2 linked regions of the Elephas maximus indicus genome follow. Each later gene encodes a partner of the first gene's protein in a complex. Links are inferred from orthologs where the notes say so. Each region holds a gene or a part of one and is shown in the gene's direction. Other genes may lie near its edges.

Region 1 (7,810 bases):
GTTTTGAAGACACCAAGGAGCCCTAGTGGAGCAGTGGTTAAAGCGATTGACTGCTAACCAAAAGGTCAGCAGTTTGACACCAGTGGCAGCTCCTAGAGAGAAAAATATGGCAGTTGACCTCCATAGAGATTTACTTTACACCCTTGGAAACCCTATGAGGTCACTATGAGTTGGAATTGACTTGACAGCAGTAGGGTTTTTTCTTTTTTTTTTTTTTTTGGTTTTGGAGACACTCATTTTTAACCTCATCACAACCTCCACGTGAGGTAGGAATTTTAGATGAAAGAACTTAGGCTCTATTAGTATAAACGAATTAATTACCCAAGGTCACCATCTAGTTACCTTGGTTCATATCTCTTTGTGGCACAGAAAGACAGAAAACCACGAGACAGTTGTGCTGCAGAAAGGGCATTGTCCTTGTAGCCCAGAGGCCACTTTGTGTATGACCCCAGGGCAAGCCCCTGCACATCAGTTTTCTTATAAAATGGGGATGATATTGATAATATTGATAATACTTCCCTGAGTGTTAATACTAAGGCCAACCTAGTGATTCACTCACTTGCTGAGTCAATGATTTCCCCATAAGGAAGTTCATGGAAGCATTATTTTTAGTGGCAAAAAAAAAAAAAAACCCAAAATGGAAATAATTTGAATGTCCATCAACACAGCACTAGTTGACTAAGTAGCACGCATCCATATGATGGAATGTTTTGCAGCACTGGAAATGAATGAACTGTTCAGTATGGTAGCTTCTAGCCAGATGTGGCTACTGATCACTTCAAATGTACATAATTTAACTTAAGATATTCTGTAAGTGTAAAATACACACTTGTTTTGAAGTTTTAGTAAGAAGAAGCGAATGTAAAATATCTCATTAAGAACGTTTCATATTCATGAAAGGAGAGACTGGAAGGAGGAAGCGGGCTGACTCATTAGGGGGAGAGTAAATGGGAGTATGTGGTAAGGTGTATATAAGCTTATATGTGAGAGACTGACTTGATTTGTAAACTTTCACTTAAAGCACAATAAAAAGTATTTTAAAAAAAAAGAATGTTTCATATTGATTACATGTTGAATGATAATATTTTGGTGTATTGGTGTTATGGATTGAATTGTGTTCCCCAAAATTTGTATTGTAAATCCTAACCTCTTTGTTTCTGGTGGCACAGTGGTTGAGAGCTTGGCTGCTAGCCAAAAGGTCAGCAGTTCAAATCCACCAGTTACTCCTTGGAAACCCTGTGGGCCAATTCTACTCTGTTCTATAGGGTTGCTATGAGTTGGAATCCACTGACTGACAATGGGTTTGTTTTGCTTTGTTTTTATGCTTGTAGTTATAATTCTATTTGGCAATGGGTTTTCTTTGTTATGTTAAGAGGCCATATCAGTGTAGGGTGTGTTTTAAGCCAATTACTTTTGAGATATAAAAACAACAGATTAGTACAGAGAAGCAAAGAGATATAGGAGAAGACAGACACCATGCCAAATAAAGATCAGGAAGGAGCAAAGGAATAGAAGCCGAAGAGGCAAGGACCTTCTCTCAGTGCTGACAGAGACAGAAAGCCTTCCCCTAGAGCCAGTGCCCTAACTTGGGGCCTCTGCTTCCAAAATTGTGAGAAAATAAATTTCTGTTCATTAAAGCCACTCACTTGTGTTATTTTTGTTATAGTAGCACTAGATAACTAAAACAATTGGGTTAAATAAAACATATTATTCAAATTAATTCCACTTGTTTAAGTGTGACTAATAGGAACTTTTTTGAGTTGGAATTGACGGCAGTGGGTTTGTTTTTTTAATAGGAACTTTATAATTATGTATGTGGCCCACATTATATTTGTATTGGAAAACCATTGCTAATCTAGAGGGATGTCCGTTGTGTATTACATAAATCACACAAACATCTAATGAACTCAGTTTAAAAAATAAAATAGAAAAAAACTCTATGTTGTGTATGTGAGTGAATGTGGGTGTGGAATGTGTGTGTCGATATAGGCATAGTGAAAAGTGTGAAAGGATATACACCAAGCCTTTAATGTTGATGAGGGTTGAAGAAGATAGAATGTACACTGAGGAGCAGGGCCAATTACTGTTTCTTTGGCTTGTTGCAAGGACTTTGCATTGCCTTTCCAACTGAGAGAGAAATTCAAATAAAGCATCTCTAAATAAGTAATAAGTAAATTTTAAGCTTGTTGTATACCAGGTACTGTGCCAGGCTCTGAGGTTATAAAGACGAAGAAGACAATGACTTTGTCTAAAAAGCTCATAATATGGGGGAAGACAGAGAAGCATCGATCAACAATGACTTTGAAGTATGTTAGGTGCTGACAGAGGCACAAACAGGCTGCCCCAAGTGCATAGGAAGGGGGTGTCCATTTTATCTTCAGTTAGTGGTCAAGGGGTGAGTGCAGAGAATGTTTCCTGGAGGGGCTGCATGAATGTTTCCTGGAGGGGCTGCATGAGGTGGAGCTAAACCTTCCATGACACTTAGTTCTCCAGATGTGGAAGAGTTCAAAGGGTATTCCAGGCAAAAGGAAGTCAATTTTCGAAAGCCGGGAAGTAAGAAACAGCAACAAGCCTTTAGGAATAGCTAGAATATGTGAGGGGGTGGGAGCAAATGAGGCTGAACAGGTAGGCACAGGCCGTACAGTGATGAGTTTTAGGTGCTAATGGAAGGATTTTAATTTACTGCTAAAAGCTTTGATCTCACTCATAGACCAGTGGAATGACATGACTAGATTTGCATCATAGAAAGATCACTGTAGCAGCAGAGTGTACAGAATTATAGGAATGATTAGGGAGGCACAGTTTCTGCACTCAAGGAACTTACAGTCTACTTGGGAAAAGAGACAAATGATAATTGGCATTTATCAAATTCTTACTTGGCCAGTCACTGTTCTAAGCACTTCACAAATATTAACCCTCTTAATCCCCATTTTTGATCCCCATTTCACAGAGAAGGAAGCTGAGACACAGAGGAGTCAAGTGACTTGGTTACGGACTTGCAGGCAGGCAGGCAGGCAGGCTGGGTTTTGGAGGTCAAGAACTTCATTTCCATATGATACTTCCTCTTAGATTTATAATGGAGCATGTTTGGTTCTAAGCTAGGATAGGAGCCTTGGGGGGCTATCTAATCTGGACTAGAAGAATCAGCCATGGCTTCCTATTACAGAGGAGGTGACTTCTACTTTGAGGTTTGAAGCCTAAACTAGAATTCATGGTGGGGGGTGGGCAGGAAGAAACTTCCAGGGAGACAGAGATTGTTTAAAGACCTTGATCTAGGAAAAAGCACGGCATATTGAGGAGAACCAAAAGTCACTCCATACAGCTGGGCCATGAAGAATGGAGGCAAGTGGTGGAGAGCAAAGGAGCTGATGATGTGGGCAGGGGCCAGACCAGGCTGGAGTCTTGTACACCATGTTAAATGTTTTTGGATTTCATCCTAAAAGCAATGAGAAACCACTGAAGCATTCAAGGCAGGGAATGAGTAGTTTTGCATTTTAGATCACTCTGACTGTTACGTGGAGAATGGATTGGAACTGGGTAAACCTATAGGTCTAAGATCAGTTAGGATGCTGTTCGAGTGATCTAGGTGAGATGTAATTTAGGTGGCCAGAATTTAGGATGATGGAGAGAAACAGGGCTGGGCAACTGCTTGTTGAACAGCTACTACCTAAATGAAATCAACATATATTGAAGACAATTTTTGCAAGGAGCAGAACAATGTCAAAGCAGTTATCACCTTCTATGAGAGTTCTTTGCATAGGAGTGAGAAGGGAAGCAATGGGACAAAAATGAGGATTTTGGAGCTATGTGGATGTTGGCTGAAATCCTAGCTCTGCTACTTACTAGCTGTATTGCCTTAAGTCAATATATGTTTAATCATAATGATAATAACAGGTAACAATTATAACCACAGCAATTAAAAAAACTAAATTCACTGCCGTCAAGCCTATCTCGACTCATAGCCACCCTACAGGACAGAGTAGAACTACCCCGTAGGGTTTCCAAGGCTGTAAATCTGACAGAAACAGACTGCCACCTTTTCCTCCCGTGGAGCAGCTGACTGGTTCGATCTACCAACCTTCTGGTTAGCAGCCGAACGCTTTAACCACCGTGCCACCAGGGCTCCTGTAATAATTGTAAAGCACTTATTAGGTAGGCTGGAGTCCTGGTAGCGCAGTTGTTAAGAGCCTGGCTGCTAATCAGAAGGTTGGCTGTTCCAATCCACAGCCACTCCTTGGAAACCTATGGGGCAGTTCCACTCTCTCCTACAGGGTCCCTGAGTCGGAGTGGACTCGACGGCAACGAGTTTTTTGGACTATATAAAAAAAAAAAAAAAAAAAAAAATTTTTTTTTTTTTATAGGACAGGCCCAGTCTAAGCACGTTATATATTTAATCTTCACAGTAACCCTAAGAAGAAAATGTATTTTACAATGAGGAAACTGAAGGACAGAAAAATTAAGAAACTTTCTCTAGATTACAAAGCCAGTAAGTGGAGTAGCGATTTGTGGAATAAAATGAATGAATTTCGATTTCGCAGTGAGCGCAGGGATGGAAATTGACACAGTAGGAGAGGATGTGATAGGTCCGAGGGAGTGTGTACAACAGCAAACGCGCAGCTCAAGCACAGATTTAAAGGAGAGAGCGAGGGCGCTTTGGGAACTACGCAGCAGCGTATACCAGAAGCAAGCAAGCGGCCATTAACGATCACCTCTCATTCCCCCACAGACTGGAAGCAGGAAGTGGCGGCGGGCGTCGCGCGGGGTGACGTCACGGTGGCGCCGGCAGGGAAGGGCGGGGGAGGAGGAGGAGCGAGCCGGGCTGGAAGGGGGGGTGGCTGCACAGTCTCCGGGATCCCCAGGCCTGGAGGGGGGTCTGCGCGAGGCCGGCTGGCTCTGCCCCCCGTCCGGTCCCGAGCGGGGCCTCCCTCGGGCCAGCCTGATGTGACCCGGCCCAGCGGAGCCTGAGCAAGGAGCGGGTCCGTCGCGGAGCCGGAGGGCGGGAGGAACATGACATCGCGGAGGTGAGGAGCCCCGGGGGCCCCGGCTCTGGCCTCCGCCGGGCCCCCGCCTCGGTCGCCCTGCCCCACCCGGGAGGGGGCGCCGCCGTCGGGCCCCCCCCCGGGTGGGCGGGCAGGTTACCTCTTAACCCCCTCGATCTCCCGGGACCGGGGGCCTGGTCCTTCCGCGCCCCCACCCCTCGGGTCCCCATTCATTTCCTGCCTCCCGGAGTTCCGGCTCGCGCAGCCCGGGGATGTCGGTCTGGACGAGGGCAGGTAGAACCGCCGGGGGAGTCGCGGACGCCAGCGGCCCGGCTCGGCGCCGCATTCCTGACCCATTGCCTCATGAGAATTGCCTCATGGTGATTCCGAAATAACCCCGCTCACTTGGGGAGGCTCCTCGGCCCGGGACGCGGGAGGGGAATGAAGGGAGTTGCGCAGGATCGGGCCCCTGAGGGTCGAGCCGCTCTGGGTCAACCTGCCTCTCGCGCTCTTCTTGGGACTTCACCCAGAACCCCTATCCCTACGTATCCCTTTGCATCACCATTTCCCCCACTTCTCACGTGCCAGAAATGGAAAAACTGACTGTATCTGCAGCTATTAGAAGTATTTCCTTCCTCTGCGATCTTCTCTTTGGGAGATTGCAAGGGAAGGGAGCTATATCAAGTTATTTAATCCTTTATCATAACCTGAAAAGTCAGGTAACTTTAATCATCCCCATTTTACGGAGGTGGAGACCGAGGCTCATAGGTAAGTGGCAGGATTTGAACCTAAGCCTGTCACAATCCAGGGCCAGAAGGATTAGTGAGATCCATTGAAAGTTGAGGGTGATAACACTATTACTAGCTAACATTTATTTAGCTCTTGCTCTAAGCCTAATACGTTTAATCCTCACAACAACCCTGTGAGGTAGGTACTGTTATCCTGAGTTTCAGATGTTAGGCAACTTGGCTAAGGTCACACAACTAATAATTTGGTGGAGCCATAATCCCTACTGTTAATCACGGGGCTGCTATTATTATAGCTATCGCTAATCATTAAAAAAAAAAAAAAAATCATTATTCAGCCTTAATTCTGTTGTTAAACAGTAGTGTGACCTATTGTCTTCAGGTAGCAGTCCTGGTAGTTTGTACTGGCACTCTATATACCACTGACACATAAAATCCATTGTTTATTCTTCTCCTTGGTTGTCTAGTTATGGTCACTGTCTTAGATGTTTGAAAAACAGTTTCAAGTTGCTGGGGTTATTTGAATGAGAGACTTCTCAAAATATTAGAGATAGCTATTTGAAACACACCTGAACGTCACACATTCATGGACCTGGAAAGAAAGTTGGAGAAAAGAGAAGATGGAACTCTCCTAGGAAGTGGGCAGGTCTGTGGGCAAGAGTTTACAGATCTGGGTCATATATAACTATTTCATCAGAACAGTGTATAGCCTCAAATGGTCTAATTCTTTAGGGATCTTTTAAATAAAACAGTAGTCTATTCTTTTAATCTGTCAAATAGTCATTGAGTCTTTTGTTCTTTGTGTCTGCTCTTCCAGACAAGGAAGGATCTGCTTCTTTAGAAGACAAAAAGACTGGGGGTCTTTCTCTATCTATCCCTAGATGGAGAAAGGGGCCGGGTAGTAATAGACCCTACATTGTCCAACTTGTTAGTTTAGAAGCATAGAAGTATGGGCATAGCTAAATCAGCAAGAGGTAAAGATGACACTTTGAAATAGAGTAATTTCTTCTCCCCTCCAGTCCTGATATTTATTATCCACCTACTGTGGATACAGAGGAAACCCTGGTGGCATAGTGGTTAAGTGCTATAGCTGCTAACCAAGAGGTCGGCAGTTCAAATCCGCCAGGTGCTCCTTGGAAACTCTATCGGGCAGTTCTACTCTGTCCTATAGGGTCGCTATGAGTCAGAATCGACTTGACGGCAGTGGGCTTGGTTTTTGGTTTTTAGGTGGATATAGAAAGGAAATGTGAGCCACCTAAAAATTCGTTTATGAACACAATACACATAACTGGGAATCATTTATTACTGTTTTCTGGATTGTAAGTCTCTTATTTGAGCAGTTTTATTCAAGTATACTTGACATGCAGGAAATTGCACATATTTAAAATATACAGTTTGGTAAGTTTTGACATGTATACACTTGTGAAACCAGCACCATAATCAATATAATGGAAAATATCCATCACCCCTCCTGATATTTCCTGGTGGCCCTAAATAATCCCTCCCTTGTTCTTCAGGCAGCCACTGTTTTGCTTTGTGTCACTGTATGTAAGTTTCAGTTTTTTTTGAATTTTATGTAAGTAGATTTAATATTCTTTTTCTTTTTGGTCTGGTTTCTTACGCTCGGCATAATTATCTTGAGATTCATCCATGCTGTAGTGTGTGTCAGTAGGTCATTCCTTTTTATCGTTCAGCAATATTCCATTGTATGGATGTACCACAGTTTGTTTATCCATTCATCTGTTGATGGGCATTGGGTTGTTGCCAGCTTATGGCTATCACAGACAACCTCTGGACATTGGTATACAAGTCTTTGTAGGGACATATGCTTTCGTTTCTCTTGGGGAAGTAGGAATGGAATGGCTGGATCAGATAGTGGGTGCATATTTAATTTTTTCAGAAATTACCAATCTGTTTTCCAGAGCGATTATACCATTTACGTTCTTACCAGCAGTATATGAAAGTTTCTGTTTCATCCACATCCTTACCAACACGTAGTATTACCTGTTATCCGTTGCCGTCGAGTTGATTCTGACTCATAGCGACCCCATAGGACAGAGTAGAACGGCCCCATAGAGTTTCCGA
Region 2 (6,860 bases), on another chromosome or scaffold:
CCATCCTAAACTTGCTGTGTGTCCTCAAGCAGGTTCTGACCCTCTCTGGATGTTAGGACCCAGTGCGTCCAGTGGGTTCTACTGTTCTTATAATCCTTGAGCCATTTGTGTGCACCAAAAGGCCACACTCCAGTTCCCTATGGTCACTGGGCACTGAGAAGAGGACAGAGGTGGGTGAGAGGTGGGAAAGCAGTTCCCTCCCTGTGCCTCTTCTGGCCCCCTGACTGTAGATACAAGCATCTACCTGGACGAGGGGTGAATTGGTGAAAAGGTAGTGAGGTGAGGGTCAGAAGTCCTGCATTCCAGGCCTCTGTTTCTCCACTAATCTCAGACAAGTCCCCTCCACTCTTAGGGCCTCAGTTTCCATGCTTGTACAATAGACACATTCTTAGGGCCCCTCTGGCCCTGACATCCAAAATGATTGCTTCGATGCCTGGGATGTGTGTGCTGCTTCCTCACCTCCTGATGGGGGAGCCTGGGGAGGGGCCAACAGCTGGGAGCGTGGGAGAGCCAGATGTGGTGGCCGCTGGCCCTGCCTGAGTGAGTGCTGAGCTGGCCTACTGGGAATTCTCCCACTCAGGCTCCCTTTCCGGGCACCCCCCTCCTTCTCCCTCCACCCCACTGAGCACTACGGCTTCCGGCTCAAACAAGCGTGGGTGAGGGTCTTAGGAGAGGAGTCAGTTGAGCCTGGTTCCCTCCTTTAGGGAAGATCAGGGGGCCGAGAGTCTAGACAAAAGCCTTGCTTCCAGTCCCAGTGCTGCCGGGGACACACCGGAAAGCCTTGCCCAAGTAGCTTTCCATCCTTGGGCCTCAGTCACCTGGGCTGTAAAATGAGCGGGTTGGAGAGCTTCCTCCAGCCCTGACTGTGGACTTGTGAGACAGCAGCTCCTGGTGACCCCTGACAACTAGTGGTCTCGGGTGGAGCTTTCTTACTCTGCTCTGCTCCCTGCACAAAACACCTTCTGTGAACCATTTTTTCAGGCTTCTCAACCACCCCTTGAAGTGGGCACATTTATCCCTTTTTACAGTTGAAGAAACTGAGGCTCAGAGAGCTCAGATAATATACTTTGTCCAGGGTCACACAGCTAGGAAGTGGCAAAGCTGGCTTGAAACTGCCAACCCCAGAGCCCAGGCTCTTAACCCTTGAGCAGTACCACTAGTTCTTTGGGGAGGTGGTAGTGAACCCGAAGGCCCAGAGCTCTTCTCTCCCTCTGCACCCCCTTCCAGTCCACCTCAGGCAGGGCTCTCCAAGGTCCATGTTCTGCCCACCCACTTTGAGCCCAGGATGGCCCGAGGCCATGAGCAGGGGAGGACTGGGCGCCCAGCATTTGGACGGGTGGGAGAATGCTCGTGACATGCTGTTCATGGTGAACACCTCAGCATGTCAGTGTTGCGTTGCCCACATGACACCCACCCAGCCCCTCAGAGTGCACAAGGAGAAACTGAGGCCCAAAGGAGGAAGGGCTCTGCCCAGAGCACACAGTGATGGGACGCAGCTTGAATGAGGGGAACTCACTATTTCGATTACATTCTAGGCACTGTACTAAGCCCTTTACATACATTACAAATTCACAATAATTTCACGAGTTAGCCCTCTTATTATCCATCCCCATTCTCCAAAAGAGGAAACAAATGTACAGGAGTTTAAGTGACTTGTCCAAAGTCATGCAACTTAGAAGTGGAGAACCTGGGATTTGAACGCAGCTCTGCCTTTTTTTCTGCCTCTGGCTCTAGAACTTTCCCTGTCAATCTCCACCCTTTTGTCCCAACTGTCCAGCCCTCAGTGAGTGCCCTGTGGTGCTCTCTGTGGCTCAGTACCCACCCCTATCTCAGCTGAGAGGAGCCATGACAGCCTGGTGCCCACCAAGGGTTAATGGTGGTAGGGGCTAAGTGCTTCCAGATGGGCCAGCCGGATGGCTGCGCTGGCCGGAAACTGGCTGCCGCCAGTGTCCCTGGGGAGCCACCACCAGCCGCCCCCTCCCCTCTGTACTGCATCGCTGGCCCCCAGCTGTCCCCCTGCCCTGGGGCCCCCCAGCCTCCTCTATTTAGCCAGGGTCCAGCTCTAAGGGGAACTGCAGACAGACCATCCTAAGGGCCTTCCAGCACAGTGAGTCCACCCTTGTTAGGTACAGATCGAGAAACTGAGGCTCAGGGAGGCCAAGGGACCTAACCAAGGTCACTCAATAGGTCTGAGACTAGGTATCCTGATTCCAGACCAGCTTTTCTGGGAAGAAGGGAGTCGAAAAGCTCCATTGCTCCATTGCTCCCTCTGAGCTCTCCTGGCCCCAGCAGTTGGGCCAAATTTTCAGAGGCGCATGGCCAGCAAATGCTAGGAGTGGAGCTGTAAATTCCTGGTGAAGTCTTTGGGCACAAGCAGTCCCTATGATGCCTGACCCTGTGGCCTCTGGGGTTCTCTCACATGAATCTGCTGCCACCAAGCCCTGCTCCAGGCTCTCTCTCTTGGGACATTTTCACAGTCCCCGTCATGTGCCTGGGCCAGTCTGTGGATCCTTCTTCCTCTATGCAGCCCAGCCCAGATGCCCAACTGGGGAATCCCTTTTGCAACAAGACCAAGAAATGGTTTCAAGATAGATTACTGCAGTTGGCCTGGAATTCCAGCTCAAGCAACTTCCCTGTCCATGAACAGTGATCTGGGGTGGGGGTGGGGAGGAGAAGGGGGTAGACAAAAGTACAGAGTACATAGTGGAAGTTGCTCTGGGCATAGGCAGGCTGTACCTGTGGACCTGGGACACATTTCTTCCTCTCTCTGGTCCTCAGGTCCCCCACGTGTATAGTAGTGGAGGCACAGGTTGGCTTAGCTTAACTCTAAGCCCTTTTCAAATAATGCCCCTTGGCATCGAAGGGCTAGGAGTCTGCCATCTTCTGAGCTGAGGAGGTAAATATGGAAGATGAGTGTGGGGGATGAAAAGCCCAATGTGGAGACCAGGAGCAGACCCTGGTGAGGAAGGAAGGCAGGAGAATGGAACATACCAGCTACTCAAAAATACTTGTTGAGTGACTGAATAAATAGAGACAAGGAAAGAGGTAACCTAGGAAGAAGGCAGGGCAGGAGGGCTGGTCTACACTGGAATATGGGTGTTGGGTCAGAGTCAGATGACCTGTGAAACTTTGATCATGTAACTTATGAAACCCAACTCTGCTCCAGCTCTGCCATTGCTGTGTGAGCTTGGGCAACTCATTTCTCTCCTCTGGGCCTCAGTTTCCTCACCTACAAAAGGGGCAAATAATCCTTCCCTGGTACCCCAGGGGCTCTGAGATGATAGAAAGAAACATGTCTGGAAATCTGGAGTGTGCTGGGTGACCTTGGGCAAACTGCTTTCCCTCTCTGTGCCAAGCCATGCCTGGGCCTTAGCTTCTCCTTCTGAAAGTAACAAATAACCCTGGAGAGTCTTTTCATCTCTTCTCTAATTTCCTCAATCATCAGTTAGGTGCCCTCTAAAATGCATCCCAGCTCCCTGTCCTCCCGTGGGGTACCTGTTTGCACATTGTCCGTCACTCCCACTAGTCTGAGCTTCCCTGAGGTCAGGGACTGTGTCTTACCACCGCACCCTGGAGCCTAGCACAGTGCCTAGCACATAGTCGATGCTCAGTAATGCTTGTTCAATGAATGAATGTTGACTGAATCAATCATAGAGATTATCAGAGCTCCCTTTACAGATGGGGAAACTGAGGCACAGAAGAGCCGCCCCCCCAGGTGCCATGGCAAGGAGAGGCCACTGGTGACAAACATCAAATGGGGACGGGCCACTTTTTAATAAAAGTGACTCAGCGACTGGCTGGCGTGGGCTTCGGAATTTCTAAACATCCCCTCACGTCCTGAGAGAGCGGGAGACGGGAGGGAGTAAGAAGAAGGAAAAGAGGAAGAAAAACAAGAAACTTGGGGAAAAGAAAGAGAGGGGGGAAAAAAGTGAAATTGAAAACAGACGCACGCGTCCACCCTCCCTGCTCTGCCGCCCCCCTTCTCCCAGCTAGGCCAATCAGAAGCCGTCTTGCGGCCTTTCCCCCAAAGTGGAGGGGGCGGTGGAAGCAGGGAAGCCCACGGTGGTGTGAGCTCCTGGGGCTGCCAGCCGCCCAGCAGTCCCTACCCGCCCTGTCTGGGATCCGGGATCGCTCCGTGAGCAGCTCAGAGAGGAGGAGGACGCCGAGGAAGAGGAAGCCTGGCCCCTCAGAGCAGCCGCGGAACTGAAGCCCGTGCCCTGCGACCCAGCCAGCCAGACCCAGGGCGGCCCCTCCTGGCAGCTTGACTCCTACGGAAGGATGCTTTGGGAGTGAGGCGAAGCTGGGCTGCTCTTTACCGCTGCAGCCCCCCACTCTCTTGTTCCCCGAGGCTCTGGTCTACAGCCACCCTTCTTGCCCCCCTACCCAGCCACTGGCAGTCTGGAGTCCAGCAAAGTCTCCAGATAACTGGGAGAGGGCAGTGAGGAGGACTTCCTGGAGGGGGTGGCAGCCCAGAGCCTGGGACTGTGCTAACATTAGAAGACACCGCAGCAAGGTAAGTGCCGGGAGAGGGAGGACCCTAGCCCCTTGCCCTGTCCCCTTGTCCCAGCCTGAGCCTCAAAAAAATGAAAACTATTTTTAACAAAACCATATGGGAGGAGGCCTGGAGGCGGAAGACAATGTCAGGGCTGGAGGAGCTGTTTTTCTCCTTTCCTCTGCTCAGGCCGCTTCTGGAGGGGGGTGGTCCCTGCCTTCCCAACTGTGCTGCCCTTCCCCAGTTAAACAAACCCCAGAGGTTTCTTGGTGCCAAGTGGGGGCCTTCAAAGCACAATGGTGTCTACAAGAGGTGGGGAGAGCTGGGAGGGGCGAGAAAGTGGAACTGGGGGATGGCATGTAGGGTACATGGAAAGGGGACCTAGCAGGGGACTAGGGACCTCAGGGCCACTGCCCCTGCCCCCAGGCCTAAGCCTTGGCTCTAGGCCAGTCAGCCACCAGGCAACCTCTGGGGATTTAAATGGATTTGCAAATTTTCCAGATTCCTAACATGTCCTTCCAAACCCCCAGTGACTGGGAAAGTTCGAGAATGAAGGGGACCGGGGACCGTGGCTGGGGGCAGGCTCAACCTAGCAGTCTTGCAGCTGGGGCTGAGGGTCTGGGACCAGGCTGTCAGATCTGGGGGCCTCCTGTAAAGAGGGGGTTAGCCAGCTGGACTCTTTCCTTGGGTCCCAAGTGACTGCTCGGGCCTCCTTGCTGTCTCCCCGTTTCAGGGCTTGGCTTCTTTTCCATTCCATTCTAAAATATAAATCTGGTGAGGCGACCTTCCTGCTCAAAATCTTTCTGTGGCTCCTCAGTACCTGTAGAAAACCCCGGCTTCTAACAACGGCTGCCACTGATTGACACTTACTGCACGCCAGGCACTGTGCTGAGTGCTTTATGAGAGTGATCTCATTTAACGGTAACCAGCAGACCCAGAAGCAGGGACTGCTTTTCCCTTCCCTTTACCCACAGGGAAACTGAGGCTCATGGTAGCCACATAACTACAGCCACACAGCTAGTAAGTGGCAGACCTTGGAAAGGTACTGACCCTCCACCCCCGTTACTGCAAACTTGGGCCTTTTGTTCCTTCAGTCAAATCTCAGACATCCCAGAAGGAATTTGCATGATCCTGCCTGTGAGCCTTTGCCTTCCCCATTCTCCTGCCTGAAATGTCTTTCCTTATCACCTCCACTTTTCCTTCAAGGATCCTCCCTAGTCCTGCCTCCTCCAGGCAGCCTTCCTGGGCCCTTCCAGTCCTCAGAGCTTGCTCCCTCCTCTGAGCTCCCAGGCCACTGCTGCGCACTACATGCTGGGACCTTGTTGCTTGGCCTTCTCTTCCTGTTTGTGTTCTGTCCATCCACATGACAGAGAGTGTTCAGGCCCCAGGCCTCCTCATCTATGTTCTGTCCCCACTGCCCAGCCCTGGGCAGGCAGTAGGGTTGAGAAAATGTGCTGGTGAAAAGGAGGAGAAACTGGCCAGAACTCAAGCCTCCTGCTTTCCTTCACATGCCCTTCCAGGCCATCAAGGGCTCCTCTAGATCACATTTCCCTATTTCAAATGGGGGTGGGGGGTGGGGGTGTGGGGGAGTCCCTGCCTACTTCTGTGATCCCTGAGCACACAGGTCTCCAGTGAGAACTGCAGAGGTCAGGCAGGCCTCTCCTGCCTCCAATAGGAGCACCCTGACCCATAGCATTCATGGATGTGACCACTGCACTGATCACCATCATAGAGCCTTTGCCCCATGCCGGGCACAGAGGCTGGTACCTCACACACTTTGTAATACTCAGCGGCTCTTTGACATCAGTATTGGGAGTACTCCTATTTTACAGATGAGGAAACTGAGGCTTAGAGGGGCTAAAGTGACTTGCCCAGGGTCACACAGCTAGTAGAGTTGGTATTTGAGCCATAGTCTGCCCGAATACAAAGTCTTAACCCCCACCCTACCAGGGAGCCGCTGGTCAGAAGGGGGAGAGTTCCCATTCTCTCCAAGGGCTGGACCCTGGCGTCAGCATCTTCCCCCACAGAAAGTTTAACCTCAGGCCTGATTGGCTTCAAGGTCTGCCCAGGCCCTGGCTTGGTCTTGAATGGGGAAGGGGACCATCTGTTTGGCATCCTCCTTTCAGAACAGTGGTTACTGCTTGAACATGGTTATCAGGCAGCCTCCCTCCTCTGGGGGTGGCAGCTGTTTCTGTGGGAAGAAGAGTTGGGACTTGTAATTGCCCACAGATGTGGGACAATGGAAAGCACCGTGGATTCAGCATCACGAGATCCGGTACTGGTCCTGGCTCCACTCCACTCACATTCGCTGTGTGGCCAGCCTCAACCTCTGTGCCCTCTCTGGGCTGCTCCCTCATCTGAGAGGCAG

Evidence for each region.
Region 2: the proteins of PTPN11 (region 1) and PDGFRB are in contact, whole or in part, in a crystal structure (PDB 1AYA), measured with the Mus musculus proteins. The link is inferred for Elephas maximus indicus from reciprocal best matches to the Homo sapiens genes PTPN11 and PDGFRB. Residues at the interface, in NP_001103462.1 of Mus musculus: Gly13, Val14, Glu17, Arg32, Pro33, Ser34, Lys35, Ser36, Thr42, Thr52, His53, Ile54, Lys55, Leu65, Gly68, Gln87, Leu88, Lys89, Glu90, Lys91, Gly93, Ile96; in NP_032835.2 of Mus musculus: Ser1005, Val1006, Leu1007, Tyr1008, Thr1009, Ala1010, Val1011, Gln1012, Pro1013.

The regions. Positions count from the first base shown.
Region 1 is NC_064840.1:10,657,850-10,665,659, forward strand, and holds the start of PTPN11 (tyrosine-protein phosphatase non-receptor type 11), read left to right. Parts: upstream 1-4,803; 5' UTR 4,804-5,007; coding exon 5,008-5,021; intron 5,022-7,810. UniProt on the Homo sapiens protein: Acts downstream of various receptor and cytoplasmic protein tyrosine kinases to participate in the signal transduction from the cell surface to the nucleus. Positively regulates MAPK signal transduction pathway. Dephosphorylates GAB1, ARHGAP35 and EGFR.
Region 2 is NC_064820.1:165,347,741-165,354,600, reverse strand, and holds the start of PDGFRB (platelet-derived growth factor receptor beta), read left to right. Parts: upstream 1-3,849; 5' UTR 3,850-4,513; intron 4,514-6,860. UniProt on the Homo sapiens protein: Tyrosine-protein kinase that acts as a cell-surface receptor for homodimeric PDGFB and PDGFD and for heterodimers formed by PDGFA and PDGFB, and plays an essential role in the regulation of embryonic development, cell proliferation, survival, differentiation, chemotaxis and migration.